Linked DNA regions of Mytilus edulis. The main gene of each other region encodes a partner of the protein of the gene in region 2 in a complex. Links are inferred from orthologs where the notes say so. Each region holds a gene or a part of one and is shown on either strand. Other genes may lie near its edges. The genes, in order: GATOR complex protein Iml1-like, GATOR2 complex protein MIOS-like, protein SEC13 homolog and GATOR1 complex protein NPRL2-like.

Region 1 (8,055 bases), on a different chromosome or scaffold from region 2:
TCTATGGTTGAGTTGTTGTCTCTTTGACACATTCCCCATTTCCATTCTCAATTCTATTTACATATTCACAGGGTAAATACTGTTCCTATGTATTTATTTCATGTATCATGGAATATTACCTGGTATTACCTTGTAGTAATAGTCAATTATCCCGTTTTATAACTGAACACCAAACAGTTTTCTGTTGGTAAGTTAAACTCAGTTTTTACCATGAAATGCAGAGTAGCATTTTCTTTTTCTTGGTAATTTCTTTTAAAATGTTCTATCTGTAATGGTTTTTATATTTCAAAGTTCACCTTACTATGACTTTGGGAGGTGTATTTTTTTGTTTAATTTATTACATATATCTGTAACTTTTTAAATACCTGTATTCCAAATTGTCCGTAGATAAGTTTGTTATTGACCATCTCTGGCCCTCTCATATGGTCCAACATTTTAGACATGGTAGGAGGTTTAGCAGAAGGAATTGGGTTCTGTGGTACTTTGTCAAACTGTGACAGTTTACTCCTTAGTCTATTTACAGGTAGTTCTAAATCTGTAATATAACAAGATTCATATCATAATGTGTAATATTAATTTTCACACAGACTACATTAAAGTCTAACAAAAGGCTGTTAGAGCAACAGCAAACCAGATTTTTTTTATTGATTATTTGTGTTCTGGTATTTTTCAAGGACCACAACTCCTGATCATAAAAAGTAAAAGTGACAATCGTCAATACTGAACTTGACCTTCATTTTGTCATCAGTAAAAATGTATTAAAATTTAAAAAGCTTTGGTTGAATGGTTTATGAGTAAATGCATGGACACTGTTTGGCAGCCTGCCATATGGATACCCCTGTGCCCTCTCGCAGAACATCCACAAGTCAATAACTGATTTTTCCTTCTAAAATCAGGATAAAATGTATTGTTACCAGCAAGTTATAATTAAGTGAGCGTGCTTAATCATCTAGATAAAATTCTTATTTCTGAATTTAAATGCAGTTATATAACTTTTTAGATTTGCAGACAGTGATTGAAATTGTTCATTAAGGTGGCTCTTAAATGTAACTGAAGGTAGATACAACATATTAGGATAACAGGCAGTGATTGAACAGGGTGAAATCTGACAATGCTTTAGATGGTAGAATAAATCTTAATCATGAATAAAATGATGTTTGGGGTACATGTCAAAAAGACATCAACCTTATATAAAAAAAATAATAAATAGACATCTAAAAAGGAATCAAACAGTCTTTAAAAGTAGATCATATCTATAAAGCAATATGTCAAGATACAAATCATCTTAGTCACTCTATACAAGTTGTGAATAACTGTCAGAAACAAAACTCAACTCAAATTCATGAGTTAACATTTTTTTTTTAAAAGTCACAAATGTCATAAAAAAGTCTTAATTTGTGACAGCAACAGGAAACATTAATGTGGTAGAATTATACTTATTGTTTTAGATCTTGATCCTTTCAAACTAAGCAATACATGTGTAGTACCATCAATATTATAAATAGTAACTTCTTCTCTGATTACATTCTTCTGTATCATAACTTATACTGTGTGTATATATTTGATTCAATACTTTTTCTTAATGCTTTTTATAAAACATACTAATTCTTTGTTTGCAGTGAATTTAAAATGTTTCCTTGACATTGTAACTGTACCATGTTTACTCTTATCATGTTTATGATTTTTTAAGATACATGTACTAATAAATTATAAAACAAGAATGTGTCCAAAGTACACAGACGCCCCACTTGCACTATCCTTTTTCATGTTCCATAGACCGTGAAATTGGGTAAATATCTAATTTGGCATTAAAATAAGAAATATTATGCTATAGGTAACATGTGTACTAAGTTTCAAGTTGATTGAACTTCAATTTCATCAAAAACTACATTGACCAAAAACTTTAACCTGAAACTCCCACTTTAATTTTCTATGTTCAGTGGACCATGAAATTGGGGTCAAAAGTCTAATTTGGCATTAAAATTAGAAAGATCTTATCATAAGCAACAAGTGTACTAAGTTTCAAGTTGATTGGACTTCAGCTTCATCAAAAACTACCTTCACCAAAAACTTAAACCTGGAGCAGGACAAACAAACGAACGGAGCCACAGACCAGAAAACATAATGCCCCTCTACTATCGTAGGTGGGGCATAAAAACATTTTTAAATGAGCCAAACACTGAAATCTCAAATACAGCAGAAGGTTTAATTATCAATCAAAATTACCTTCTTCCTTTTCTGGCATTTTCAGCTTCATGTATGTGGCAACCTGAGTCACTTCTGACCCTGAAAAATAATCAAATTATCTAATTAGCTACATGTCAGAATATAACACAAAATCCCCTTTTTTATTACTTCAAATCATCTTTTTATTGTACAGGAAAGTCGAAGTGAGTTTTCCAACTAACAATGACTAAAGATACTTTAAAAGTATCATCAAACATGTCAAATATCAGACCAATATCTTCGAATTCAAGCAAAGAAAAAATTGTGGAAAAACTTATTTGCCTGAATAACAGATGGACAGACAGACAGGTAGACAGATAGAGCACAAACATGTAGTTTAAAGGTAATTTATATAATCAGAAACCGATCTAAAATAGAGAATTGAAATGGGAAATATGTCAATGAGACAACTACAACTGAACCACCAATGGGTCTTCAACGCACAAGAAAATCCTACACCCAGAGGCAGGCTTCAGCTGGCCCCTTAATAACAATGTGTACTACATGTAGTTCAGTGAAAATGTACATCAATACTTAACTCCAAAACATCATGCTACCCAAATTGTACCGATCAGAGTTTTGTGGTAAAAAGTATTCTGCATAAGTTGCATAACATTTGGTTGAGTCAAACTTAAGTTTAAGAACTGAAAAAATATCAAGGATGGAAAAAAATATTCATCATATTTTCATTTTATTTATAAAGGGCATAACTCTAGAATGGTTATATTAAAGTGACACTACTTAAATTCACACTTGATCTGTATTGTAATAAGCATTGTGTGTAAGTTTCATAACATTTATTTAGGCAAACTAATATTAGAGAACGGCAACTAAAAAATCAGCAATATTTCCACTTATAAACATGATAAAGGACCACTAGCTACGAGATACATTAAAAATCTAACACATTATTTCTTTTGCTCAATCATTAATGAAATGCAAATAGAGAAATAATAATTCACTTTTAGCAGCCAATATGGTTCAATTTTGTGAAAATAAGCTAAAAAACATTGATTATGATTCAATCACTTGCAAGTGAATAATTCTACCTCATTCATGTCATTGAATCTGTATTCATGTGAACTTCAATTTAACCCCTTAGCTTGAGATGGATAACATGTGAATTATATGTGTAAAGTTATTTAAAGGAAATTAATGTCAACATTGAAAGTGAAACAAAGGTAAATCATTTGATTGACTTATTTGATCCAAACACAATCATTCTTATACAGGTAAAAAAAAGGATAAACATGAATTTTTAATCTATAACATGAAGTAAATAGACCTAGAAAAATCCAACAGCACGAGTTAGCTCCATCTATCTATATTTATATTTATGTTTACATCGCATGTATGGTCATCAGATGACTTTAGAGGTCAACTCTATAGTTAATTGGATGGTGTATGGACTAAACTACACACAAAACGAAGCTATGTTTTTTCATGCCAGTGTCCTGTTTATTGTTTATTTTAGACTTTTAATGCATGTAGTTTTGATAAATGTTTTTATACATTGTTATAAATCAAATATGAGAATTGTGTTCATTTCGGTGAAAATGAATTTGACAGTTTGTGCCCCTTTAAGTGCACATGATGTCACCAAAATCCAAACTTGATCTGTGTTATGTGGTAATAAGCATTATGTATAAGTTTCATCACATTTAGTTGAGGCAAACGTTAGTTAGAGAACCGGAAACCAACAATTTTTTTTCAGCTTATCGAGAATGAAAGTAGAATGAAAAAGATATCAGCTGATCATTCTTTATACTAAAAATAAAATATATTGTAAAGGTTACTATACAAATCTTGAATACAGAATGCACCCTAAAATAAAGTGGAAGGAAAAGCTGAACATATGTTAGGTTCCGAATTGTCTAACCGTTGGCAAAAATTATGCCGAAATGACTTTTATACATAGGTGCCGATTTGATCCCTAATCATATCTTTCTAAGAGATTTTTGCTACCGTGAGAACAACTGAAATAATCACATATATCGAAAATGATAAAAAATTGCTACTTATTCAATAATTTCAATTACATTTTGTTAGCAAAAGTAAATGTTTTCTGCAAAGATTTTTTACAAGACAGTTCATTTTTTGTTCTTCGATGTAGGCTATTCTCTTTATTTTCCCTTTACGCAAATTCGTAAATGTAAGCGTTTTGCAGACCATGCATTTCGTATGTTTCTCTCGGACTTTATCCATCGCCGTACGAAAAAACCGCCACCAAAATGAAATGGAGAATGAAAAGATAAAAAAGCTTCATGTCCATAAAAGAAATCCACAAGATGCATGTAAATGACATTTCGTGATTTTTGTTTAAATTCATTTCAAAATCTTTTTACAAACCATGCATTCGTTACAACTGTACTGTGTACATGAGTAATTTAATTTGCAATGTAGCACTGTCTCTTCTGAAGTTCTGTCAAATTATGACAAATATTTTGAAATTATTCATGACATCTTGGAAGGCTGTTATTTTCTGCAAAAAAAAAGAGGGTGGCAAAGGGTTATTTTTGTGCAACGTTTTCGGTCTTTTTCTTTCTTTTTTCGAGTTTGGTTAGAAGTGCGTGATGTATGAGAGCAAGACTTAATAGTTAAGATAGTAATTTAGTCATGGCTAATCTATCTACATCTACATAATACTAATAAATATACAAGTTGTATTGCTGTAGTGACGTAACATAATACATACCTGTCAACCTCTGAAAATGAAAAGTCAGGTCATGACCTGCATTGAGAAAAAAAATCTCAGGTCATAACGCGTACGACATTTTGCGGGCTCAATTGAAGAAGAAAAATATGTTTACATATAATTTATATAGTCAATATGTATATGAAACAGTTAGAACATGTATACAAGTTTATTTCAGACTATTGTTATATTCCATAGTAGCAGACTTGGCATTCTTTAAAAGAACTGCACTTGGTTTCAGTTCATAGCAATGCAAATGTGTATTCATTTTACAAGAAAGAAGAGCACACAGTGTATCCTTATTAAGATCAGCCCTAAACTCTGTAGCTATTTTCTTTACTAAAGAAAATGCCCTCTCACTGTCTGCAATGCTGTTTGGCAAAACCAGTAATGTTTTAGCAAGTTTTGACAAAACAAAAAATTTTGGCTTGTTAATAAAAATGTCATGCAACTTGGACATTTCTCCCCAAAATGTACCAATGTCAGTTTCAGGGGAAGTGCAAAGTGGAAGTTCATCTAATGGGGTCAACTGATAGTCACTGAACTCATCTTGTAGCTGTGTTGTCTCTTCATATCGTTACGTAGCTCAGGTAAACAGTCCTACATTTTGACTTTTGGTTACATTGAAAAAGACCGATAAAACCGAAGGTCGTATTACTTCTAAATACCGGAAACAATTCCGGTCAGAAATCTGGGTGAAACGGGTAATGTTAGAAATTCCCGGGACCCGCCGGGTAAAGAAAAACTCCCGGGTGAGAGGTGAAAATAACGGGTGTCACCCGCAAAAAACGGGTGAGTTGACAGGTATGATAATACTGAATATCCTAAAGGTTTTTATGGTGTTTTCCCAGAATAATCTAAGATATCCTACTGTAGTGTATAATCGGTCGTCTTGTTGGTTCATTCAGACTTTGTTATTGTACTTATTACACGGGAAAACTCCGCATTGACTCCACTACGCTAATACCAACTCTCAAAATTAGTGCAGAATACATTTGTTCTACTCTTCTAAATAAAAGAACATTTCTAAAGATATGTCGTCCTGAATATGCATGAAATATTTGCCACTGGACGTCAAGCAACCAACAATCAATCAATCTAGAGATATGTTTTCATAGTTATTCAAAAGTATTTTATAAAAATTGCCAACTTGCCAATTTTCTAATGGCTGTTTAAAACCTGACTTCCAAATTCCTAAAACATTTCAGAACTTCACAAATTCCACTTCTGACCTCTATAGCTTTGTGTACATTCCATTAAGCGTCATCAATGAAGGGGATAGGACCTTTATCAGTATTCCGGGAACAGGTGTTTTTAAGCTCGGAATTTCAGGATTGACCCTTATGGGATCCGGGAATTCTTTTTTTCCAATTTCGGGATGCAGGTATTTAGATCTTTTTAAATTCAGGAATATCGTGTTTTAAAGCCCAGGTTTTCAAGATCAGGACCCCTCCTACACCCCCCCCCCTCACTCAATCTTAGTGGCAGACAAAACAGGTCATGCAAATCATATTTCTAAGAATTTCAAAATGACAAGCACCTTACGTTTGAGGGATTTTCCCACTACAAAAAAACATCCACAATAAAAATAAAACTTTGGGAAAAAACAATGTTCATAGATATAGGAAGATGTGGTATGAGTGCCAATGAGACAACTTCCAAGTAACAATTTTATAAAAGTAAACCATGACAAGTCTCAATTTACAGGCTCTTGAACTGAATTTTAATGTGTGTATTGTTATGCGTTTACTTTTCTACATTGGCAAGATGTATAGGGGGTGGGTTGCGATCTCATAAACATGTTTAACCACGCACATTTTTGCACCTGTCCAAAGTCGGGAGCCTCTGGCCTTTGTTAGTCTTGTATTATTTTTAATTTTAGTTTCTTGTGTACAATTATAGAGTTTAGTATGGTGTTCATTATCACTGAAATAGTATATATATTTGTTTAGGGGCCAGCTGAAGGACGCCTCCGTGTGCAGGAATTTCTCGCTGCATTGAAGACCTGTTAGTGATCTTCAGCTGTCGTCTGTTCTATGATCTTTTATGGTTGGGTTGTTGTCTCTTTGACACGTTTCCCATTTCCATTCCCAATTTTATTTATAAACTTTTTTGTTTGCTATTTTAGTTTTAGGAAATGATATTTTGATCAATCCTAAAGACTTTCCTGACGTTGTTCTCCGAGATATTCTAGAGATTCATCATTCTGATAGTGATAATAGGTAAGTGTCATCAAGTAAGGGAGATAACCTAACAATTCTTTGTAATAACTAATATATATATATAGTTATCATGAACTCAGTCGTGGTATCAGTGATGATAATTGTTACGGTAATTGTATTGCTGTTTTATTATTTCGTTCCACTGTGTAAACCCCTGTATGTATATGTTCATTTGTAATTGGCATTTGATGATAGTCTAATGTCTGGACTAAGTGGACTTTTTTTCAATGTTTTTTACTTCCTTACTCACTTTACATGTTTTAATTCATGTACATGTATAGGCATTTAGCTTAATACATGTAAAATGATTTTTGAAATAAGAAGTTATTGAATTTTGACAAATGAGGTTTATAGGTTATGAAAGTAATTCTGGAAAAAAGAGTTGATTTATCATGTTTATGAAATCATTAATTAATTTTAACTGAAAATATTTATAAGTATGATGAAAGAAACAAGAGGAAGATGTTGAGTAAACATAAAAGAGAAACAACCCAACAACATCAGAAGGGGTCTGTTAGATATTAGATTTTGTTTGCCTATATTTATTATTCAAGAATTAAAACATTGTAATTTAATGTATGCTCTTATTCTAATTTTAGTCGATTACTGCTACAGGTGACAACAGTGACTGGTGAATTTCAACAGAAAGGTACACCATTTTATTAAACATTTGTGTTTCTAGATTTTTGTGCCCAGTGACAAATATGACAGAAACAATAGATTTACCAATCTTGATACATCTAGATCTGTCTATGAAGATTTTGTAACTTCCTTAAATTCAATATTTCAGACTCCCAAGGTTAAAAACATCAATGACATTACCCATTAAATTGATTTTATAAAAGTGTGGATTGATTGCAAATGAGAAATCACTATACCAGAGACCAAATTTAAGGAAGATCTGATGTATGA
Region 2 (8,019 bases):
TTCGATTCTAATAGGACAAATACGATCATTAAAAAACTGAAGCGATGATGGGTATACCGTGTGTGTGGCTGTTCTATTTGACCCACTGTTCGATAAAAGTAAAACAAATTTAATAAACCTGCATGAATGATTTCTTAACTAACCGCTAGAAAAAAATGTGATTCCTTTTGTTACTTCTCAGTAAACCCAACATTTGCAATTTTAAATTTACATTTTATATCGTAAGCTACCGTCAAATTCACTGTTGACTTAGTAACCAAGGAGCCGCCATGTTGACTTGCTGAAATCAGTAAATGTGCAATAATGCAATAGAACAGAAAACAAGCAACACCTACCTCAATGATTTATTTTAATGCAATTGTATCCGAGTTTAGAAGGTAAACGCAATAGAAAAACCTTCAGCTTTGACATTTTCATACGTATGACGTCATGTTTAGAAATGACGTTAATGCGCCAAAATCATTACTGGAATTTCGTGGAATTTTAATTTATTTTGTTTTTGTCCTTTTTTCCGTTCTCTAATGTGTAAATTCTTTTTGTTATGCGTCAGAATCAGAATAAATGTTCTGTAGGGTTTTATTCAATTGTAATTGTTAACACAGCGAAATCCACAACCGGTTACACATAGGTTAGGATACATGTGGATTTACGTGGGAGGCATATTTAAACAGCCATTTGTGTACATCTTGGAGTCTGCGCTAAGTATAGATATATCGAGAATTTTATCACGGTGTTGTTTACAAAGCGAAAGAAGCACGTCATATTAGAATGTCAAATTTATCGGTCTAGGGCTGGGCAATACTCATAAAACAAGCAGTTTTGCCAACCCTGCTTAGGTTTCTGTAAATGTTAATGTCATAATAAAACATGTCTGTTATCTTACAATGCTACATATTTTTACCAAGGAAAAGGGATTGTTGTTTAAAAGATGTCAATAGTTCAATTTTCAGGTAAAGTGTCGCAGATTCCCAAATAGCATGAGTTCTATAAGGTTCTGTGGTAAAAAGATGTACCCTAACATGATTTGGAAAAAAATAACTTGGGAAGACTGTCATGGATCTTTGAAATTGATATTGTACAATGATACATTCAATGGACATCATAAAACAGCACATTTGTCAGTGGGTTCAATAATACCCTATTTTTATTCAAATTCCTGTTGAATTATTAGATGCTACAATGTATTTAAAATGTAATGTATATACCGGTAATCAAATTAATAATTTGATAATATCAATGTTTGAAAAAAGAAATGTCAGCCATGTAGTTTAGAGGAATAATAAATAACTGAAGAAGGCCAATGGCCGAAACGTCTGAACAATTGGTTTATTTATACAATTATAATATCAAAATAGTTTTCATGAATAAATATTTGCGAATTTTTCTAATGAATTTTTTTTTGGTGATAAATGTTTTGGATGACGACATCATTTGTTGTTCATAGGGTGCAAACGTGTGAGGTGGTAACATGTATGGGGGCGAATGCTAAATTGGAGCGAATTTGATTTAGGGAAATGGACCCAGATTCCTGTCACATAGTGATCATGGTGATAAGTCCAAATACCCCCTCCACAACACATACATGTCAGATTAGGACTCAGATCAGGAGGTTTTTAATCGACATAAATTTTGTCGTAAATGTAACCAAATGTAACCGTAAGATGTAGAAATTGTTGTTTAAAGTGTTTTTTTTTCAATTTTTCATCAAAAAGTAATATGTTTATAGTACCCTTGTTGCCTTTCTATTTGAATGATATCACATTATCAAAAACAGATATTGAAAAGAATCTGTTTGTTTTGTTTTGTTTTTGATAAATGATTGTTCACTGCTTGCAAATAAGTCATTATGACGGGAAGCACTAATGACAGGACGATTGCCCCCAGGACAGTTGACCGGACGACATATAAATAGTTATAACTTTTTTGTTATTCGGTAGATTTGTTTAAAATTTGTAGACCTTAAAGATATTAAAATATATATTATGAAAATCAAACAAAATAAGTGAAAAAAATATTTTTGAGCAAATGAAGTTGACCGGACAGTATTCACACTCGTCGTTATACGCTATACATTATATATTCAACTGGTCGGCAACAAGTGTTAATACATCAATACATCTTTTGTTTTACAATATTTGTCAACAAAATTCCTGAATCTGTGAGAATAATAAATATTGGATACGAAAATATAAACTTCAAAGTAAAAAAAATGTTTTTCTCCATAAAAAGTTGACCGGACATTATTCACATTCTCTAATGTACATGTACGCGTTAATTATATTGAACTGATAAAAAAAAAGTGTTATATCTTATTTGTTTTACAATATTTTTACACGAAACTAAGAAATCTACGAGATCACAATAAATACTTGATATTAAAATATAAATTTTATATTACATAAAAATGTTTTTCTTCAAAAAAAAGTTGACCGGACGGAATTCACATTCGTCATACATGTATATATGCTTTAAATGTATTGAAATGATCGACACAAATATAAAGTTGATCCTGTTAATATATTTAAAACCAGACACATAAATTACAACTATAGACTCCATTAGATTTTTGAATCTCTTGTATCATATGTCTCTGTTAAATTACATCGGCGAATATGACTCAGTCTGGTCAACTTTATTTTGAAGAAAAATATATTTTTTTCAAGAAAGTTTATATTTTCATATCATATAATTATTGATGTCGCAGATTTCTCATTTTCATGACTTAAATCAGCTGCTTAAATATTGTTTATCCTTAATTTTTTTTATATTAACATACATGTATAATCAACGTGTACATCAAGGAATGTGAAGACCGTCCGGTTAATTTTTTTGGCAGAATATCATGAAGTTTATATTTTCGTATAATATATTTATAAATCTCATAGATTCCTGAATTTCATAGACGAATATTGTAAAGCAATAGAGATATTAACACTTGTGTTGATCATTTCAATATATTTAAAGCATATATCGGCAAATGTGAATACCATTTCGTCAAATTTTTTAGAAGAAAAACTTTTTTTTTTACTATAAATTTATATTTTCGTATAATTTATTTATAAATTTCACAGATTCCTGAATTTCTTGGACAAATATTATTGTAAAACAAAAGAGATATTAACACTTGTTGCCCACCAGTTGAATATATGTATAGCATTTAAAGGCAAGTGTGAATACCATCTGGTCAACTATATTTGCTCAAAAATATTTTTTTTCACTTATTTTGTTTGATTTTCATAAAATATATTTTAATAGTATAAGGTCTACAAATATTAAACAAATCTACTGAATAACAAAACAGTTATGACTATATATATGTCGTCCGGTCAACCGTCCTGTCATGATCCGGGCAGTCATCCTGTCATTAGTGCAACCCCATTATGACCTTTTCTTTGTATATAGATTTGTATTCATGTCTCCATCTCTTTATCATTTGGTAACTGTCATGACTGTATAGACACCCGGATGAAAACAGTAGCTCCATTTAAAAGTTTATCACTATCATTACATACAAACAGATATTTTACCAAAGGAGAAGGTCCGGTAAGGACCGATTTTGGCCTCAAATTTCAGGTTCATCTGACGAATGATTTTGACCACTTTTTAAACACTTAAGTGTCTATTTTATTTGATTCATTTGTTTTTGTAAAAGATTTTAACTGATTTAATCATAAAAAAACGCACCGATTCAAGCTGAAATATGAAAAATCTACCAAATATGCCGAAAAATGTCACTTTTCAGATGGTTTTTGTCAAAAATGAAAGTGGCCGCATCCGTGTTCATCCTCAACCTTTGTATATGTTATGTATTATCATAAAATACAACTTACATTTTAATATTAAGGATGAACATGAACATGATGAATGCGGCCACTTTCGTTTTACACGAAAAGCGTCTAAAATTCAACTAAAATGCTAGAATTGTGAAGATTTCAGTAATTTAGCATGACTTTGTGGTGCTAGTACCCGATATATTTTCATTGTATTGTCAAAAACGGCCCATGTTTATGTAGCAGAAGCATTCTTCTGTCCAATAAATTACTAAAAGTTTACATTTGAACAATTTTGTAAAACTGCTATATTTTGGGGCCAAAAAGGGGTCTTACTGGACCTACTCCTTTAAACACTACACTTTCATTCATTGTTTTACTTTTTTTCACCTTATTGCTGTCGGAAACCATTTCTCTGATTTCTTTAGGATTCCTTGTGTTTGATGCCATGTCTTGTCCTAGTAAAATACTAGAAAAATTCTCATATAGAAAGGATGTTTGGTGAGCAAGAGATGATTCCATAATTAAAGTTAAGCAACATATTCCACTTTTCTGTTAAAAACAAGTACGAAATGAAAACGGCGAAACGGCTACCACAGAAACATGACGCCGGAAATGCCAGAATTTTTTTACGACAAACAGTTACGATATGATGAATGATAATATTGTAAAAAATTATGTTGTTGCAGCAGGATATACAAAAAAATACTATATTTTACATAAACAATTAAATCGTGTTATTGTTTTTTTTTAAGTTCACCAAAATAAATATTACGACACTGCATGGGAGGTTACTCCATCTGCTTTCGTTTTCGGAAATAGAAAGTCAGAGATTTTTTGGGGTCAAAACTAAAAACTGGGTACAATAGGGATCAATAGAGTAAAAGTGGGACCAATATTGACAGCCCCAGGTAAAAATCACAAACTCAAAATATAAGCAGAACAAAATGAAATATTTACAGAAGAATATATTTTATTCATATGATTATGAAAACTTACACTTTACAGTAATTATAGGCTAAAAAAGATTAAAATCAATCAAATAACACTTATTAAGCAATACTTTATTGACAATGACTGCACGTATCTGCATGCTTGGGACATGTAGACAAATAGGCCTTCGTAGGCTACGCCTATCCGCATTTGATTTTATGATAAACTGTCATATGATCCAGAATGAAACGTGAATGATACACGAAAATTATCAGTTGTTTTTAACTGTATTAGTAATTAGTGTGACGAAAAAGTTTAGTATGAATAGAATAGAATAGAATAGAATAGAATATCTTTTATTTCCATAAGAGGTACCCTCAAGGGGCATAGTGCATATACATTCATGACAATATATAGTTACAAACAATTACAAATACAATAAAGCAAAACAACAAAACAGTATGCTTTAAAAAGTTAGACATTTTAAATATTACTTACAGTATCCCAGTGTTATATTATAAATGTTTACTCAAGGCAGGTGTTTTGATAAGAAATAGCCAAGTTGTTTTAAAATATTAATAGACTCACAGTTTAATAGCCAAATAAATTTATTGACCATATCCAAGGAGTAAAATTTTTTACATTCTTTAAATATCAGATCAAATAACATGTCTCTATCCTTAGAGTATACAGGACATTCTATAAGAAAATGAAGTTCATCTTCCACTTTATTCAAATTGCATTTATCACAAATTCTTTGATGAACTTCTAATTTGGAATATCTCCCAGTTTCAATTTTAAGTCTATGAGATGAAATCCTGAATTTTGTGATAGCTTTTCTCAAATCAAAATTTTTCAAGATATTTAAATAATTTTCTTTACAAAATGATGTTTTAAACTGACAATATGTTCTTAGTTTTCCTTGGCTATTTTGGCTATAAGCATTTTCCCAAGATTTGACATAGGATACTTTTAAACAATTAAGTAAACATTTTCTGAATTTGTATTTACTAAAATTAATGGAGTTACTAGGCAGGTCAATAATTTTACATAAGTGTCTGACACTGCTATACCAACTATTGTGATTTTTATCATCTAAATCTTTAGAGGTTTGTAAGGCTTTATATAATAAAGAGTCCTCAGGCATATTTTCAATTCTAAAATAATAATTCAGTAGATTTTTCACAATACTAATATAAATAGGAAATCTACCTAGTTCAGAGAGTACAGCAAAATTGCTGCTCTTTCTGTTTACACCCAAAATAAATTTTGTTATTTTCATGTGTAATTTATCTGGTTCAAGATCTGAATAAATTTTATCTAAGACTATATCATTTCTAAATTTACTACTCTTTGGGTTAAATGTACCCCAAATTTCAGAGGAATATAAAGAAATAGGTTTGATCATGTGATCAAATAGATGTAGACTGGTAGTAATTTTTGGATGTGAACGAATAACATCTTTGCATAATTTATAATAGCCTTTTAGACTCTTTTTGTACAATTCCTGTCTTGCATGAGAGAAGACTCCTGAAGCCGAAAATATAAGGCCTAAATACTTGTAGTGCTGTACACATTCCAGTTCAACTTGCTGAAGAGTAAATTTTTCATTGATAAGTCTACCTTGCTTATTAAATACTAAAATTTTTGTTTTATTGGTGTTTATGTTTAAGCACCAGTCAGAGCAAAACTTATCAACATTTTTTAACTTAGATTGAAGACCATATGATGTGGTAGAGAGCAAAACAATATCATCAGCATACATTAAACAATTAATATTAGTATCACCCAAAATCAGATCATCATCAACATTATCAATATATGATGGAAAGTCATTTATAAAAATTTTGAAAAGATTAGGGCTTAGGTTATCACCTTGTCGAACCCCTAATTTAACTCTAAAAGAGTCAGTTAAAATTTTCCCAGCTTTGACACAAGTTGAGCTAACATTGTACATGTTCTTTATAATGTTGTAAAAATTTCCTCCTAATCCCATCTGTAATAGTTTATATTTAATACCACTATGTATGACTGAATCAAACGCCTTTTTAAAATCTATAAAACATGCATACAATTTTTTACCTGTGGAAAGTACCGAGTCAATCAGATTTTTAAGCAAAAACATATGATCAGATGTTCTGGACTTTTTAACAAAGCCAATTTGAAACTCAGTAATTAGACTGTTTTGTAATAAATATTTGTCAAGTCTATCATTTAAGATTGTATTAAAAAGTTTACCAATTGCACATGTAATTGAGATGCCTCTGTAGTTTGAGGGATCAGTTGGGTCCCCTGACTTAAAAAGGGGTAGAGTGTATCCTTCAGCCCAGCATTCGGGATATTTTCCTGTGTTAAGACATAAATTAAATAATTTTCTATAACATGGAACTAAACTATTGGCACTTGCCTTTAGCATTTCATTAGTTATAAAATCTAAGCCACAAGCTTTATTGTTTTTCAGCTGGGACTTGAACTAAAGTGCGTATCTGTGTGTGTGTGCTGTGTTGTTGGGTATATAAGTTTCAGGTCGTGCCTTTCACTTGTAAATGGACGAGATATGCCAAGTATACTCTTTAACAGGGTTGCCCTTGAAATCTACTGGTAGTGTGATTAAGGGAATCCTGGTCACATTTATGAATAAATAAATGGATCCTGGTGCAGTCTGAATGAAGTCTTGTAGTGAACATAAATAAGAAGGCGAATAAAAGTTCAATTCTGTGCTATTAAAATCACACGACTTTAACAAAGTTTCAAGTATAACACAATGTACATCTAACTTCAGGCTCAACAATACAGGTCTCCTCTTTACTATATAAACTTACTGTCCTCTGTTATGTATTACTAAGTATAACATTGAGGTAGAAGGCATCTGTTTAGATTAGCATTTTATTCTACACTAAAATAATCAAGCAAGTTACATATTATATATCGCGACAACTGTGGTAAGTATAACGGTATAGGCGGTGCCATATGGTTTTCATCACTTTAGAGATTACAGTTCATTTGATAACGATTCGTTGTAACTTTAATAGTTTGTATTGTCAGTTTCAATTAGACATAACATTTCCTCCCTTCTAATTTTCGAATTCCATAGTAAAGTTATAGTATACAAATGATAAGGTCATTGACTCGGTCATTGATAAAAATCTGTTGTATAAAGCACGTGTGGAAAGAATGAATGAAAGAAAATAATTACTGTCTATGTGTAAATAAAAACGTTAACTACAAAAAAACTCTAATATCATGCATTCAAAATATTTATCCCTAGTGATTGCCATAGAAAAACATTTATTTTTCTCGCGCACACAATCACACA
Region 3 (8,682 bases), on a different chromosome or scaffold from region 2:
GATTGTTAAGTGTACATGTCTAGCGGGCAAATGTCATGTGACCTTGACCTCATTTTCATGGTTCAGTGGTCAAAGTTAAGTTTTTGAGTTTTGGTCTTTTTATCTAATGCTATATGCCATAGGTCAACTATATTTGGTGTATGGAAATATTTTATGATCTTTATGTCAGTCGGGCAGGTTTTATTTAACCGTGACCTCATTTTCACGGTTCATTGCACAGTGTTAAGTTTTTGTGTTTTGGTCTATTTTTCTTAAACTATAAGTAATGTGTCAACTATATATGTTGTATAGAAGCATTGTTAGCTGTACCTGTCTGCCTGGCATGGTTCATCTGACCTGGACCTCTTTTTCAAGGTTCATTGGTCTTTGTTTAGTTATCTTGGTTAATGTTAAGTTTATGTGACAGTTGTAATAAAGCTTAGCTTTATACTTAGGACTATCAACATAATATCAATGATTAGTATAGAAGGCGAGACATTTCAGCGTGTGCACTCTTGTTTAAATAATGGACACACATGTTGATGTCGTTGGGTTGCTTTCTCATTGACGTATAACAAGATATTTACTTATTTGTAAAACACAAATCAGCTGTTTACTCCTGCAGCCTTATTTTACTGTTACAGCCGATTCCATTGAGTGTGTAGTCAAAGGTAATATCTTTTGTTAGCTTGCTTGTTAGCCTAAACGTGAGGTCATTGTTTTGTAAGGTATGCTACCCTCATTTCGAAGTAGTCTAGTCCTACATACAGATAGATTGGTAAATGTTGGACTAGTCTACTCTTAACGGAGGTTAGTTTACCTAACATAACAATTACTTCACGGTTAAGCAAGCTAACCAAATTTTTTGACTTTACCTAAGCAAACCAAATGTATTGCCTTTGCCTACACTCTCTTTAAAATCGGCTGTAAGCCTATTTTGGTTTCAACAATTAAGTTCCCTGTGCACGGAAATAGTAACAACCCCGGATGTTTTATCAATTTTTGTTTGTTTGCGATGGACGTATTCGTACACCGAAAACATGAATTTCTGGAAAACGAAATTAGATTAGCAATGCTACTGAAATTTAGCAAAATTATGTTTCTAATGCGTAAGTTTCACGACAAATTTGATATGCCAACAATGCGAGTCAGGCACGGCGAAAAGTACAACAATAAAGGAGTTCAATAAAGTAGTTCAGGCCATTGGCAACTATAAAGAAATCAAAAGCAGTAAACGTTTATTTTTATAAGCACTATGAATACATCATGTATAAACATTTCTATAGTTGTATTTTCAATCATATATAGTTATCTGTATAATTCATACTAGAATGCAAAGTATAGCACTAAAATTGATAATTCTATAAATTCAAACTTATGTCTCTTTGCTGGTACCGCGATCTTGTTCAGTGCTACGGGAATTCAATCTCTTAAAAAACAGATGAAGATGTTAACGATGCCTTTGTTGCAGTTCTCAAAATCTGAAAAAAAAACAAAAACACGTGAAAATGGCTTGTAAATATTGTTGGAGAATGCTTGATACTTAGACTGTTTTTTTTGGTTTTTTTTCAGTTTCTTTTTATCTTTAACCGATACACTTATATGCATCCATTAATTACTAAAATGTTTTTCTTTTTTTCTTTACCTCCCCCCCCCCTTTTTTCCCCCTACATGCACTTACATTACACAGAATCAATCATAAGTTTTTACAATAAAATTTAAATTTTACCTTAATCCTAAGTTTCTGTGCAGCTTTGTGGTCGCCATAAAAGATCGTTTCTTTCATCAATACGGTAGAAAAAGATTGCACTGACAGGCATCGGTCTATGAATTCCCAGCATGAATTCCGCAGGTCGGGAATATCAAACTCCGTAGCCAAACAAAGTAGCCCTAAAATGAGATCAGTAGCGATTAGCATTTCAAAACATTTTTAATGTTATTTCAGATTACTAGTTAGAACTGTTTAATTTTTGTCTTGATACAAAAAAAAAAGTGTGAAAAAAAGGAAAACACTTTACACTTTATTTGAGAAAAGCCTCCCCCTTTCTTCTATCAATCGATCGATGTTTATAGCGAGTTCACAACTTATGCTTACCAGTAACTGTTGATGGCTCTATTTCTACTGTTCCACAATGGACAAACAACAAAAATGTACGGAATATATCAGCATCATAATTATCTATAGTCATAGTCAATTTGTTGCTCTGGTCTGGTTGGATGTGCGTCGTTATCTTCGTTTTCTTTCTCTGTTTCAATGCTTCTTTTGAGTATTTCAAAAACATAACGAAAAATAACCTAGAAATGGAAATTAAGATTTAAAATTTATTCCCAGAAAACTATTATACTAAGAATACATGGTTTATTATAGCTGCAAAGTAGTTCGGTTTAGAATATATTCCATTGTTTAGAAGACTCACTTCAAGCGAAACTCGTTGTTTTTCTTTCAACTTTCTATAAAACAGATGGCATTTAAAATTACCTAAAATCAAAGACGCACTCAATTCATTATCATAATGACCTGTTATATTTCTTGGACAATTTAAAAAAAAAAACCAAAAAACCGATATGATATAATTCGTCCAAATTTGAGACTGTATTGAGAAAATGCATATAAACTATTTACATATGTACAAATGTATTGGAGATCAACATCTATTAATTTAGACAATTACCTGCTTCGTGTGCTTAAAATAGCCTTCAGTCCATAGACGGGAACTCTTTGTGGGCCTACGATAAACATAACATCGCATAAATCTGGCATCGATAAAATATATCGAATGTTATCGATCAATGTATGCACATTGGTTACTTTCATCGAATCGGCAATATCGTTATCATTATGTATGTCGTCATCCTCATATGAGTAATCATTAAACGGAATCGATTCAGCAGATGAAATGTCCGATTTATCAGATAATGGGACTATTTGTAATCTGTTGGAGCAGTTTCTTTTTGTATCTTGATCAGAGAAGTACTCTGGTGAATCATATCCAGATGAAAAGTCTAAAAATACAAAATGATTAAAAATTTTAAAGATATTCCAAGAGTGTTTCAAAACAGTTGTTTTTGGTTAACTACTGCTTGTTTTTAATATAAAAAAAAAGAAGATGTGGTACATGATTGCCAATGTGACAATTCTCCACAAGGGACCAAATGACACAGAAATTGAAAATATCAAGATATAATTTCCTGTATATGAATAACTTTTTAGACATGAAAATACAAAACGAGAAGAAAAAGACTTTCAGTAATGGTGATAGTTTTTCTATGAAGAATTTACTTTAATATATGTTTTTCAAGTTTTCTTATTAACACTAGCTTTACGATTAGAATGTTCAAAGACTCGACGAACGTTTAACAGATATTTTAAATTGTGAAAATACAAATTATAACACACTTACCTTCATTTTCACTATCTTGGGATAATAAATTGGCTTTTTCCTCTACCATAGTTTGACATTTAGTTGAACTAGTAAACAATGCCATCATGTATGTCTTGTAAGCTTTGGTTGTTTAAATGATTTGAAACCTAGGCTTGGGATATTTATACGCTCATTTCTGATTAAGAAATTTTAAAATCCCAAAGTTCCAAAGTTGTGACATTCCGAAAATTGGTCTGTCAGTTTCATAAATATTGTTGACGTGGACATGATCTTTTTCTTACAATTTAACTAAACGGTAGATTTCCGTTGACAAGTTGACGAGCTGTCTTTTGGCTTGGAGTGATCAGAATGTCATTTTATGATTATTCTATCGTTAATTACCCAACACCTCATTAGAGCAATTATAACTTTTTTTGTTTTTCACTAAACGCGTAAATGGATTCAGATTCAGATTCAATATTTTATTTGAGTCTCACCACTTGTAAGACATATAATACAATCATCATAATATATACATTGAATAAGACAAAAATTTTATAAATTAAAATACAAGTGCCATTCTATAAAGAATTATGAGAGACTATAGAAATCAATATAAATTATAATTATATATTTATCATGTCTATAAAAACATTTTTGTTATGTAAAACCATACAACTACAATTAGCATGTCTATAAAAAATTTCAAGTTTATAAAAACATAACCATGCATCAATCAAGCACCAAGCATATAAAAAACTATTTTTTCTACTTAAATTGTTCTGAGACTACTATAACATTATAGTAGTCTCAGAATTGTTAAAGCAGGTCTTGGCAACCACATCAAAACAATCAGTATTTTTAAAAAGATATATATCACCATCAGATTAAATATTAAAATCACCATTACTTCTTTTAACTTCATAAACTAAAATTTCATGTAAATCTGCATATAAAGCACATGTTTCTCATCTTCAATTTTATCATTGCACACAAAGAAAACTCTTTCATTTACAGTTTTATTTTCATAGCCACCTGTTACTATTCGCAATGGGGGCAACGCCACACCTACATTTAGAAATTGCACTTCTGTATCGTATTGAAATGTTCTTCCTCAAATACATCTCTGTTTCAAAAACATTTTTAAACAATTTATAAGTGCGTAATTTTTTTCCAACATTTTGTGACAATATTCTATTATGCCAATTTATCTTAATTTTCAAATAAAAAATCTTCTAACTATGTAATTAAATAACATTTTTATGCAACACATTATCTAAATTAGTGTATAAATCTACATTACATTCTCTAAATTTTGTCCTAATTCTATAAATGGAGTACATATTTAAATTCATAATTGATTTATGTAGAAATGGGCAGTATTCTTATACCTGGATAAAGATGAAGTAAAAGGTGGTTCATCGGTCTAAATACTATAAAAAAAAAAACATTTTCTCATATTTTATTTCAAAATTCTGTCTTATATTTTTTTTCATTCGCATCAAAGATTTATGTCATCATTGATGAAGAATGCATATAATCAAAGATTTGTATAGTTACTATAGATATACCAGAGACATATATATATGTCTCTGGATATACAAATCCTTGATATAATTATCCAATATTGCTCGACTTAATTGCAGAATGAAAAATAGCATGGTTCACCCAGGGACTTTCTCAATACCTGATGAACCATACTCTTATTTTATTTTTTAAGAGAAAAAAAATGGTAAAATATATTTTTTGGTTCCTAAACTAAAGTATGAGAAAATTGTATAGCTATGAAGAAATAAATACCGATGATGGCGTTATCTCCCTTAACAGTTTTTTGCTGACATTTTTTGTTTGCACAATAAGTTAAAAAGAAATAGATAAATGGGCAGAAAAAGAAATAGATAAATGGGCAGAAATAGAAAATAATGACCCGAGGACTTATTTATTTAAAAACATGCTATGAATTTTATCCGGAATACGCCACTGTTGAAAAAGGTTCACCCATCGGTTGAAGGGGGGATAACTTTGCAGTTTTACCGGAAGTAAATTTTGCCACGTTCGTGTTGACATGTAAACTTAAGCCTGGCACATTCTGAGGCATTTAAAATAGACAAAACACGCTAATACTTTACTTCAGGACAAACCCACAATGGTAGGTTACAGGTGAAAATATTGCTAACTATACTGCTTGTATACAAAGACTAACACAAAATATATCTGTTAGTGTTTAGTGTTATGAGACCGGGAACTTATAAGTCTTTATATATAATTTAAATATAGTATTTTTTAGTATCATCAATTGTGTTTTAGTTAATTCGTTTATGATATAACAACAGTGAGACACTTTTTCATTCTCAATTACAAGTCTACTCAATGACTACTGGACGTTAGTTTTCTCGTAGAATTGTTTTACATTGTCTTATCGGGGCCTTTTAGAATCCGGGTCCGTTCGCCCTGATTCATGTTCGTCCGAGAACCTGTTCGCCCTGATACCTGTTCGCTCAGGGTCCATTCGCCCTGATTATTATTTTTTTCTAATTGTTGTCTAGTCGCATTATTTTAAGTGTTTGAACAAATTATGTTAAAGTTTGTTGAAAAATTGACAGAATATTTATATTGCAGCAATCAATTTATCATTTTCCCTTTGATTTGCAGAGTAGAATACTGGAATACAATGTATTTATCTTTATTGATATTTGTTAACAAAATAATTGTAATCAGTCAATCACGAAAGTATGCAGTATAAATAAATGAACTAGTCTTGTAAATCCGTTTCATAATTTACAGTTCGTACATCATTAGTTTTATTAATTTCAAGCTGAATATTTTATCAAAATAAAACGTTTGTTTTTATTATTAATCCATCAGAAGACAAGGTTCACAATAATCAGTTATCCGTATTATTTTGTAATTGAACAATTAATGATCAAAAACAAGCCATAAACTTTTAAATATTTCAATGTTTCCATAAATTTCAAGAATATACATGATATATATACCATAGAAATATCTGAATAAGTTTATTCAATTTCCAATGCCCTGAATATTAATATTTTTATAGTAGGGCGAACAGACTCTGGGCGAACGAACGGACCTAGGGCGAACGGTCCCGATACCGGCCTTTTATAGCCGACTATGGGGTATGGGCTTTGCTCATTGTTGAAGGCCGTACGGTGACCTATAGTTGTTAATGTCTGTGTCATTTTGGTCTTTTGTGGATAGTTGTCTCATTGGCAATCATACCACATCTTCTTTTTTATATAACTTGTTTGCTAAGATAATCATAATTTGTTTTAACTATTTCAGGTTTCCGTCATCAATTCTATAGATACAGCTCATGAAGATATGATTGTAAGTAATAATACAAAATTTTAAGAACATGTCATTGGATCAGAAATGCTAGGTTTTTTTTAATGCATTTACATAAACATGATAAATGCAGAAAATGAATAAAGACACTTGTCAAACAAAGTTTACTAACTTATCATGTGAGCACTGCAATACACCTTAGCACTTATCCCGGCTGACCCAGCCGCTTTAACTTTTGACGCAATTGTACATGTAGTCAAAACAATTTAAAATTAACCATGTTAACTCGAGCAAAATACTGACAACCAAAATATATTTACTGGTACTAGCAGTGTATTTATTGTGATACAATGTACCTTAAAAAATAAACATATATAATTCAGCTAATATGTCAAACTAGAAATATTTCAGATTTGAGCACATCATCAAAGTTGCAAGGTCTTCTAGAAAGGGCTTAACACAAAACAAATGTAATCGCTGTTAAATTATGGTCTTCTATTAAATAATGAATGCATAGGGCCCTCGTCTAGCATCAAATTCTGGAACTCTTTAGTATACATGTAATATACTAGTAAATAACTTCTTTATCATTCAAATTATGTTAAATTATTGTAGAAAACAATTATTTATTTCAGCATGATGCTCAGCTTGACTACTATGGAACAAAACTAGCTACCTGCTCATCAGACAAAACCATTAAAATATTTGATGTTAAAGATGGCCAACAGACACTTATAAATGAATTACAAGGGTAAGAATACATACATATCACATGAATATACATTTTTAGTTCATACATGTAGGTGTTTTTTATTTGAGTGTGTATTAATAAGATAAAAATAAAGAGATGTGGTATGTTTGCCACTGCAATGAAACAATTATCCATTTGAAGCCAAATGAGGATACAGTTGCTCCTTTTCTTTGGGGTACCCTCCTTTTTGAATATAAATCTCCAAAATTAAGAAATTAACTCCTTTTTTAAATCTAAATTCTAGGAGCAAAAACAAAGGTGTTTACGTGTATGGATTGTCAATATTTTACACAGATTTTTTAATAAAATTACTCAATACGGATTCGTCATGAAAAAGTACAGATTTTCTAACAATCGGTGAAAAAATCATAGTTGCTTTCGTTTACGGCGATCAGTGTCTGAAAGGCACTTTTTTGACTGGGAATAACCGCTCTTTAAAGGGCAAAAATGATAGCGATCAAGTATATTTCATGGACGGCATGAATCAGGATGCCAGCGTTTGGAATTATGAAAATTCACCACAGTATCGCACATTGTGAAAAGTTTTTTCTTGTGTTAGAAAAAAACGAACTGAACAAAGATCCTGCGAACTCTGAACTATGAATTGAATATGATCTACAATAGTACCTTGTTAAACCCTTAATCTGTTGGCAACTTTGTATTGAAAGTAACTTGCTAATATTTATATTCATTCAATGGCAATTAAATTTCTTGTCATAAGTATTGAAATCTTGTCCCTATTGAAATTATTATTTTGAGGTTTTGTATTTTTAATGTGTTGTACAACAGTACAAGATTAAATAATTAATGAAATTTTTAATATTTGCATGTTTTGACTTATTCCAAACTTTAACTCAACTTTTTGTAAAATCATGCAAATTTTAGGTTATAATCTTTGTTGCAAAAATATCTGAATAAGACTGCAGATACTGTCAGAATGCAGGAAATTGCACCTAGTTTTTCAAAAGTTTCTTGGGGGGGGGGGGGGGCATGCCCCTAAACCCCCCTAGATGGTTCATGCCGCTTCACAGCACTCATGAAGGGTATTACTGACAGCATTTCAAACTACTGACAATTCTACTGATAGACATCATGGTGGGTAAACAGGTCTGCAAAACTGTTGACCTTATCGGGGCCTTTTATAGCTGACTATGTGGTATGGGCTTTGCTCATTGTTGAAGGTCGTACGGTGACCTATAGTTGTTAATGTCTGTGTCCTTTTGGTCTTTTGTGGATAGTTGTCTCATTGGCAATCATACCACATCTTTTTTATACTTATTACAT
Region 4 (8,170 bases), on a different chromosome or scaffold from region 2:
GCTCAGGATCTCGGGATTGACCCTTTCAACACCCAGGAATTCTTTTTTCGAAATTCGGTATGTTGGGATTTAAATTTATTTAAATTCAGGACCTCAGGATTTCGAGTTTTTAAGCCCAGGATTTCAGGATAAGTTTTCAGAATTATGATCCATGTGGTCACAGTTATCTCCAATTGATTAAAGGTAAGCTTCATCAAAACAACTTCATTCACTTGTTAAATTTTGAAAAATGACCAGAGCAACTGAATTAATTTTAAAGACTATCGAGGTAGTGACCATTTCCTAAATAATAAGAGTGACATTTTTCTCGTGCGGGGGAGTCAAGATTTCCAAATAATTTTTTGTTTGTTAATTGCATCTGGCATTTTTTTTTTTAAAAAGAACAAATTAGCTTATTCAAAATTTGAAACCCTTCAATTTGAAAAGTGTTTTGTATGAAATTTTGTAGTTTGGTTAGGCATTGCACAAAAAGGGTGGGCTTTATATAAAAAAGTTTCACCCTGCAACATGCTCATGTGCTTAGGTCAGATATTGGTGTGTATGTAAGTTATTTGTTAGTCTGTTCATTTTATTCACAAATCTTTTAGACTTTGGATGATTTACAAGTTCATGTATTGTATAAACATCAGTCTATAGTTGAAGACCTGTAGATGTCTTTGGTTATTTATTTTCATTGGGTAGCTGCCTTGTTGATTTATACCCTACATCCCCCTTTTTTTTATAATGATGCATAATATCTAACCAATAAAAAGAATACTCACCAAGTTTGATTATAGATGAGGTTCTTACCATAATATTTGGTAACCCCAGATATACTTAACAGCTGGCTTACTGTTCACATTGCTTACTCTTCAAGGTCATCAATCTCTCTTCTGCTCTCTGCTCAGTTGTTGGCTCCTCTAAAACATCATTTCTTTTTAATAAATATGAAAGAATGGAACTTAAAACTCTATATTATTTATCATTCTTTATAAATCTTGGTTGGTTGGCCAGGTCACTGGACACATTTTTAGGCCAGGTGAGCTAAAAAAGTGTACTTAACTTATATTACCTTATTTATAACTTATAATGATAAATTTCATTGATAAAATGTATGTCTGTATAAATGACTTGTATATCAATAGCAACAAAAAGTATATTTTCATACATTTAATTTTTTTTTAAAACTTATTCAAACTTTTGAGTGAAAATGATAAATTTTGTGCAAATTGATTATGTATAAGATGAAGAACAGCAATAAAAGCACTGTTCCTTTCTTTTGTTCGTTTATTTATGCTGTCTATGTACTGATTTTGTATTCTGGATGGATATTCCTGTGTGCATATTATTTGTTTACCTATTAAACTGTAGCACTAGGTCTATCAAAGATGAATACCGTTGTATACTTTAATGTCCAAATCATAATAGTAGTCAAATCTGAGAAAAGTTTATCAAGAAGAATTTTGGGAGAAATTCATCATCAAAAAACTAATCCAGAAGCTTTCGGTCTCAGACATTTATGAATTTTTTTTTTAGGTATATTTAGTTTAGATCATCACAGAAACAATCTAACAATCTAATTGTTAATATACATATAGTACAATATATTATCAGATAAACCTGCTAGTAATCCGGATGGTAAAAAAAAAAATGATTAAGTTTTGTAATAAACTATTTGATTATACCTGTATTCAAGGCTTGGTCTACTGTATCAAGAGAAAATCAACATGTTTGTGAAATGAAGTTGATATACTGTCTTGCTTTCCTAGATGCATCTGAATACCAATTTAGATTTTTTAGATAACTAAGTTTGTAGTGTCAAAGTACTGAAAAGAAACATTTAATATTAAAATTATTCCAGAAAATATGTTGCAAACCAAAAAGTATGTGTGTTTACTGTACCCATACCTTCCCTAAAGTTTTGTTGGGAAATTTTTTGATTTAGCAATGTTGCTCCCATAGACTCAATATTTTTGAGTCTATTGACCCTACAATACAAGGTTTTCAACATAGACGTTTTCAGTAAGTTTTGCCAACCAGTTCAAAAACTTTACCCAAATTTGATTGGTTAAACTGTTAATTGTTCCCAAGACAGATACATGAATGTGAGCTCTATTCTTTTTGTTATATTTGCCACTGGAAATTATGCAACCAACAATCAATCATGAATCTTAAATGGTTAAAGTAAAAGCTCTATGCTGTAACTCAAGTAAAGCTTGTATATATAGACATGCACAGACATTAAGAAGATGTTTAACATATCTAGAAGTAAATCAAACAAAACAGATCACATTAAAGAAATTTATGATAAATAAATGATACCTTAAATCTTCTATAACTTTGAACTCATCTGATGTCCCCAAAATTTTTAAGGAAAAACACAGGAGTTTGTCCAAGTAAAGATCAATTTAAACTAAAATAAAGCCCAATTCAAACCTGTTGATCACATGATAATTTATACACTCAAATCTACTCACTTCACACTTGAGTAACCAGCCGTGTAGCCAAATATTTTCACCTGACAAAAGTATTGCAAAAAAATATGTAACTGATTTGCTCAGATAACAATGAATTGCCCTCAAGGGAATTCTTTTTAACTTATTAAAATTTAAAGAACAGTAAAATCTGAAGCATGAGGCCGCCAAAGAACCTGCATTTAAATTTTTAAGTTTGAGCACGAAAACTGATTAAACTAAAAAGTGGACCAAGGACATGAAGAATCAAGTTCTTCTACCTTTTGAAATGGCTTAATCATATTTACACTTCAACCCCAGGCTGAATTTTCATGTTAACTGTAAAAAAAATATAAGTCCATTTATGACTTTACAAGCTTTGTTTGATATGGAAAGGTATATAGCCACGCTTTAGGCCCAATTTTATTTTCTCGGCTTTCAAGTTCTATACATATGAATCGTATTGCAGAGAAATAAAAAAAAAAAAGACACAGTTTTACGCTTCCCAAATTTGAAAATTTGAAAGAGATGATTGTTTATTCTCTCGTAAGTTTTTCACCACTTAACCTCATCTAAACGAACAACCCCAGTCATCGATTTTTTTTATACTTTGTGGTATTGTTGATAATTATAGTATCTGACTATCAATGAAATTTTATCTGAGGAAATGTAAATAGATGATTTCCAACCATGAATAGCGTCTCGAATCGACAACGTAGAAAACGTATAAAAATCGTCCAGTGGACAAAATTGCAAGACATTTAATTTCTTTGAAAACGAAGTCGTTTTGAATGCGCAAAGTATCAAAAAGTATGTAGCTGACTGTTTTGTAGAGTTAATAAAAAGTTCAATTACGGAAAAGCACTATTTAGGATGCAAGGATTCTAAAGTTTCAATAAATAACGTCGCAATTAAATGACACTTTATTTGTAAAAAGCGGCGAATTCCGACATTGGACATCTTGCAGAGGCGGATTTAGAGGGGGGGCCCAGGGGGCCCGGCCCCCCCCCTTTTTTGGGAAAAAAATTGGTTGCTTATAAAGGGAATCATTGAAGCGTGACTGGAGCGGGCCCCCTCTTAGGTCAGTCAGTGGGCCCCCACTTATGAAAATTTCTGGATCCGCCACTGATTCATTCGAATTTTCGCGGATATAACACTGTTTTGAAGAACACAAAACAAACCTGCTAAAGTTATTATTCGTACAGTCTGTTTACGTCTGACACGCATATTTTTGACGTTTTGTCAATATGTTGTCATCATTTTAGACTAAAATTATGATAAAACAATTTATAGTTTTTTTCCGGAATAGTCATGATTTATGCCTATCTAGTCTATAGCTATCAATTTTATATAACTTAACTGTTATGATTTTACAGCGTGAAAAGCTGTTTATTAGTGTGGACTGGTTGATTACACCGCGGTATTGACGCAATAACGTGCTTTACGTCTGACTGAGTCATTGCGCACCCAGCGATAAACGGAAACTACGAAGAAATTACTTAACAGATACCAAGTTTATATAGAACAATGGCCATTTAATTACGTTCATTCCAACAGAGATATCCTATGTAAGCGAAGATCGACTTTGAAAGAAAATATCGTTTTCGGGGCATAGCCTGCGGCAAATAGAAGCAGAATTGTCACAGTTTTATATGCAAATTTGGTTGTATTTTTGTTGTGGATCATTTTCATTTTCTCTTTAGATAAACATAAATTTAATATCATTTCAAATTTGCTATATGTTTTAACCAAAATTTTAAATAGTAAAAAAAGTATACAGCAGAGGCGGATTTAGGGGGGGGGGGGCAGGGGGCCCGCCCCCCCCCCCCTTTTTGGGAAAAAATTTGGTTGCTTATATAGGGAATCACTGAAGCGTGACTGGAGCGGGCCCCCTCTTAGGTCAGTCAGTGGGCCAATTTCTGGATCCGCCACTGTACAGTATACATGTTCACATCAAGAGAAAACAAATACAACATCGGACTTGATTTCTTGCTACATAATAGATGGAGGAGCACGCCCGAGTCACCTTAAGTTTATTAGAAGTTATGTTTAAAAAATGCCTAAATAGGATTCTACATGTACCAATACAGACAATACAGACAGGCCACTACAGACATATCTGGTTCCGTTCCCGGGTATTGATGGTCATATTTTGGTAAAACCTCAATAATCAGCTGATATTTTTCGATTACCTCCCTTCTTGCAGACAACTTTTTAGTTTATTTACATTTGTATTTACTTATATTCCCCTGCATTTACAGATTAAATTTGAAACAATGATAAAGGGAATGTGCCTTGCAGAATTCCATCCAACTGCTGGTCCTAAGATCAAATATCAAGTAAATGCACATACTGTAAATGTCTTTGCCCTGTGAAAATTGTGAGATACACATAAAATTTGTATCATGATGCTTTAAGGTTCATCATAACCTTTTGGCTAAAATGGCCGTATTTACACCCCAAATTTTACTCTGAGTACAGACTAACCTATACACCTGCAACAGTTTTAAGGGATGGCAGGAACTAGATATATAAATTTTAAATGCATTTTATGTTTCAGAAAATTATAAACTTATCTAGATTTTGCTATCCATTTTTTTTCGTTCCTGCAGAAGGTGCAAAAATTAACTAAGTAGTGAAAACGATTGAGAAGCTCCCCTCATATAATCAATGTTGTGAGTAGTATTGATTTAAATGGACAATAGATGGACAATAGACACCTGTAAACAATAGGTTATTTAACAGGTTTAAACTGTGTAACTGAGTGGACCGTATCAAATGAAACTCGGGTGTTTGTTTATTTTGCTATCTTCTGCAGACTGGAAAAAAATGAACATCAAAATCCAGGTAAGTTTTTAATTTTCTGAAACGTAGATTTCATATAACTTTTATATATCTAGTTCCTGCCATGCCTTAAAACTTTCCTGGATGTACCAGTTTGTCTGTACTCATAGTAATTTTGGAGGTGTAAACACGGCCATATTTTTCAATTCCTTATGATGAACCTTAATGTTCATCATAACCTTTTGGCTAAAATGGCCGTATTTACACCCCAAATTTTTCTCTGAGTACAGACAAACTGGTACATCCAGGAAAGTTTTAAGGCATGGCAGGAACTAGATATATAAAAATATGAAGTCTACGTTTCAGAAAATTAAAAACTTACCTGGATTTTGATGTTCATTTTTTTCCAGTCTGCAGAAGATAGCAAAATAAACAAACACCCAAGTTTCATTTGATACGGTCCACTCAGTTACACAGTTTAAACCTGTTAAATAACCTATTGTTTACAGGTGTCTATTGTCCATCTATTGTCCATTTAAATCAATACTACTCACAACATTGATTATATGAGGGGAGCTTCTCAATCGTTTTCACTACTTAGTTAATTTTTGCACCTTCTGCAGGAACGAAAAAAAATGGATAGCAAAACCTAGAAAAGTTTATAATTTTCTGAAACATAAAATGCATTTAAAATTTATATATCTAGTTCCTGCCATCCCTTAAAACTGTTGCAGGTGTATAGGTTAGTCTGTACTCAGAGTAAAATTTGGGGTGTAAATACGGCCATTTTAGCCAAAAGGTTATGATGAACCTTAATGGTCGCCTATCCAGGCTCTTGTTTCTATCCATGGGGAGGTCGCCTATCCAGGCACTTGTTTCTATCCATGGGAAGGTCGACTATCCATATATATGCACAGTCGACCTTCCCATGGATAGAACAGTAGAAACAAGTGCCTGTGATGTTTATTCAGAGAAAGGAGGGGGCGGGGGTTGGACCTTTATCGAGACTCTGAGACAGGGTGTTTTCACAAGTTTTTAAGCTGGCATTAATACTTTCGGGATCCAAGAATTCTTTTTTCTAATTTTGGGATGTCGGGATTAAAATTTCTTTAAATTTAGGACCTTAGCCATCTTGTATCTGTTTCTGTATCTGTATTTTACACAGTGCAGGATCCAATCGCGGATATACATGTATGCGCACTAGAAGGAGAGCGGGTTGGTTAGTCCAACCGTTGGAGGGCAGCCGTGAAACACTCAACTGTTTTTTGACATGCAGTTTTCTCGTCCAGATGGTTCCACTCTACTATTGTTTTTGGAAAAAAAGAGTTCTTTCGAATGTCTGTTTTGCAGTCTATTAACTTGTATGAACTGCTATTTCTAGTTTCTTGTCTTTCCACGATGTTTGAGTATTGAAAGTCACTAAAGTTTTTTGCCTTGACTTGGCGTTTATTTCTTGTCTTTTGCAGGTAATAAGTTGGATCAATCGCTCAACCACTTTGTAGAACATAGTCAGCCTCTGATGTTTCCTTCGTTCTTGAAGAGGTGGTAGTTTTGGCTTAGAAAGCATATTTGTGACGCACCTGGTGTCTGGATTTATAATCGTGCAGGATGAAACGTGCTCCTCTTTTCTGTATGCTTTCTATTTTTAGCTAACCTGGCCCAAAGGGCCAAGTGAGCTTTTCCCATCACTTGGTGTCCGTCGTCCATCGCTGTTAACTTTTACAAAAATCTTCTCCTCTGAAACTACTAGGCCAAACTTGGCCACAATCATCACTAGGGTATCTAGTTTAAAAAATGTGTGTGGTGACCTGGCCAACAAACCAAGATGGCCACCATGGCTAAAAATAGAACATGCGGGTAAAATGAAGTTTTTGGCTTATAACTCTGAAACCAAAGCAAGTAGATCAAATCTTACAAAGTTAAATTGTTTATCAAGTCAATATCTATCTGCCCTGAAATTTTCAGATGAATCAGACAACTGGTTGTTGGGTTGCTGCCCCTGAATTGGTAATTTTTAAAGAAATTTTTCTGTTTTTGGTTATTATCTTGAATACTATTATAGATAGAGATAAACTGTAAACAGCAATAATGTTCAGCAAAGTAAGATCTAAAAACCAAAATGGTCAGTTGACCCCTTTAGGAGTTATTGCCCTGTATAGTCAATTTTTAACAATTTTTCGTAAATTTTTGTTATCTTTTACAAAAATCTTCTCGTCTGAAACAATAATTTTTAACAACTTTCACTAATTTAAACATTCCAGCAGCACCTGCATATGGGGTATATATCTCCCAATTGATACGATATTCCTGTGCTTGCATTTCCTATCATGATTTTCTTGATAGAGGGTTACTGCTCACAAGGAAGCTATTAAACCAAGAGTTCCAAATGGTGAAGTTGAAATCATCCCTTCGTAAATTTTACGGACGCCATCACTAGTTGGTTGACCGTTATGGAATAACCGTTTCACAAATGATATAGGATATGTTCCTTACGTCGTAACTACAATCCCCTTCCCTTTCATGAATGTGACTTACCGAATTAGACTATTTACCGGATTTGTAATCACATAAGCAACATGACAGGTGCCACATGTGGAGCAGGATCTGCTTACCCTTCCGGAGCAACTGAGATCACCCCTAGTTTTTGGTGGGGTTCGTGTTGTTTATTCTTTAGTTTTCTATGTTGTGTCATGTGTACTATTGTTTTTCTGTTTTTCTTTTTCATTTTTAGCCATGGCGTTGTCAGTTTGTTTTAGATTTATGAGTTTGACTGTCCCTTTGGTATCTTTCGTCTCTCTTTTAATAAATTTTATGTAAATTTTTCTAAAGGGCAAAGTTTATTATAGATAGAGAAAATTGTAAGTTCCAAGAATGTTCAGTAAAGTTAGATCTACAAACACATCGCCATCACCAAAACACAATTTTTCATGAATCCATCTGTGTCCTTTGTTTGA

The links.
Region 1: GATOR2 complex protein MIOS-like (region 2) and GATOR complex protein Iml1-like share a complex: the UniProt entries of both Drosophila melanogaster proteins name them as parts of the GATOR complex. The link is inferred for Mytilus edulis from reciprocal best matches to the Drosophila melanogaster genes mio and Iml1.
Region 3: GATOR2 complex protein MIOS-like (region 2) and protein SEC13 homolog share a complex: the UniProt entries of both Drosophila melanogaster proteins name them as parts of the GATOR complex. The link is inferred for Mytilus edulis from reciprocal best matches to the Drosophila melanogaster genes mio and Sec13.
Region 4: GATOR2 complex protein MIOS-like (region 2) and GATOR1 complex protein NPRL2-like share a complex: the UniProt entries of both Drosophila melanogaster proteins name them as parts of the GATOR complex. The link is inferred for Mytilus edulis from reciprocal best matches to the Drosophila melanogaster genes mio and Nprl2.

The regions. Positions count from the first base shown.
Region 1 is NC_092349.1:82,684,877-82,692,931, reverse strand, and holds the start of GATOR complex protein Iml1-like, read left to right. Parts: upstream 1-4,424; 5' UTR 4,425-4,462; coding exon 4,463-4,520; intron 4,521-7,049; coding exon 7,050-7,143; intron 7,144-7,742; coding exon 7,743-7,792; intron 7,793-8,055. Other genes in the region: large ribosomal subunit protein uL16m-like, read right to left, coding at 366-535, 2,227-2,286, 4,266-4,320. UniProt on the Drosophila melanogaster protein: An essential component of the GATOR subcomplex GATOR1 which functions as an inhibitor of the amino acid-sensing branch of the TORC1 signaling pathway.
Region 2 is NC_092345.1:104,524,361-104,532,379, forward strand, and holds the start of GATOR2 complex protein MIOS-like, read left to right. Parts: upstream 1-4,540; 5' UTR 4,541-4,681; intron 4,682-8,019. Other genes in the region: coiled-coil domain-containing protein 89-like, read right to left, coding at 4,161-4,292. UniProt on the Drosophila melanogaster protein: An essential component of the GATOR subcomplex GATOR2 which functions as an activator of the amino acid-sensing branch of the mTORC1 signaling pathway.
Region 3 is NC_092344.1:35,864,931-35,873,612, reverse strand, and holds the start of protein SEC13 homolog, read left to right. Parts: upstream 1-5,342; 5' UTR 5,343-5,487; coding exon 5,488-5,490; intron 5,491-6,644; coding exon 6,645-6,689; intron 6,690-7,282; coding exon 7,283-7,398; intron 7,399-8,682. Other genes in the region: serine-enriched protein-like, read right to left, coding at 1,410-1,460, 1,709-1,869, 2,075-2,274, 2,652-2,794. UniProt on the Drosophila melanogaster protein: Functions as a component of the nuclear pore complex (NPC) and the COPII coat. At the endoplasmic reticulum, SEC13 is involved in the biogenesis of COPII-coated vesicles.
Region 4 is NC_092344.1:56,140,458-56,148,627, reverse strand, and holds the start of GATOR1 complex protein NPRL2-like, read left to right. Parts: upstream 1-4,606; 5' UTR 4,607-4,708; coding exon 4,709-4,771; intron 4,772-8,170. UniProt on the Drosophila melanogaster protein: An essential component of the GATOR subcomplex GATOR1 which functions as an inhibitor of the amino acid-sensing branch of the TORC1 signaling pathway.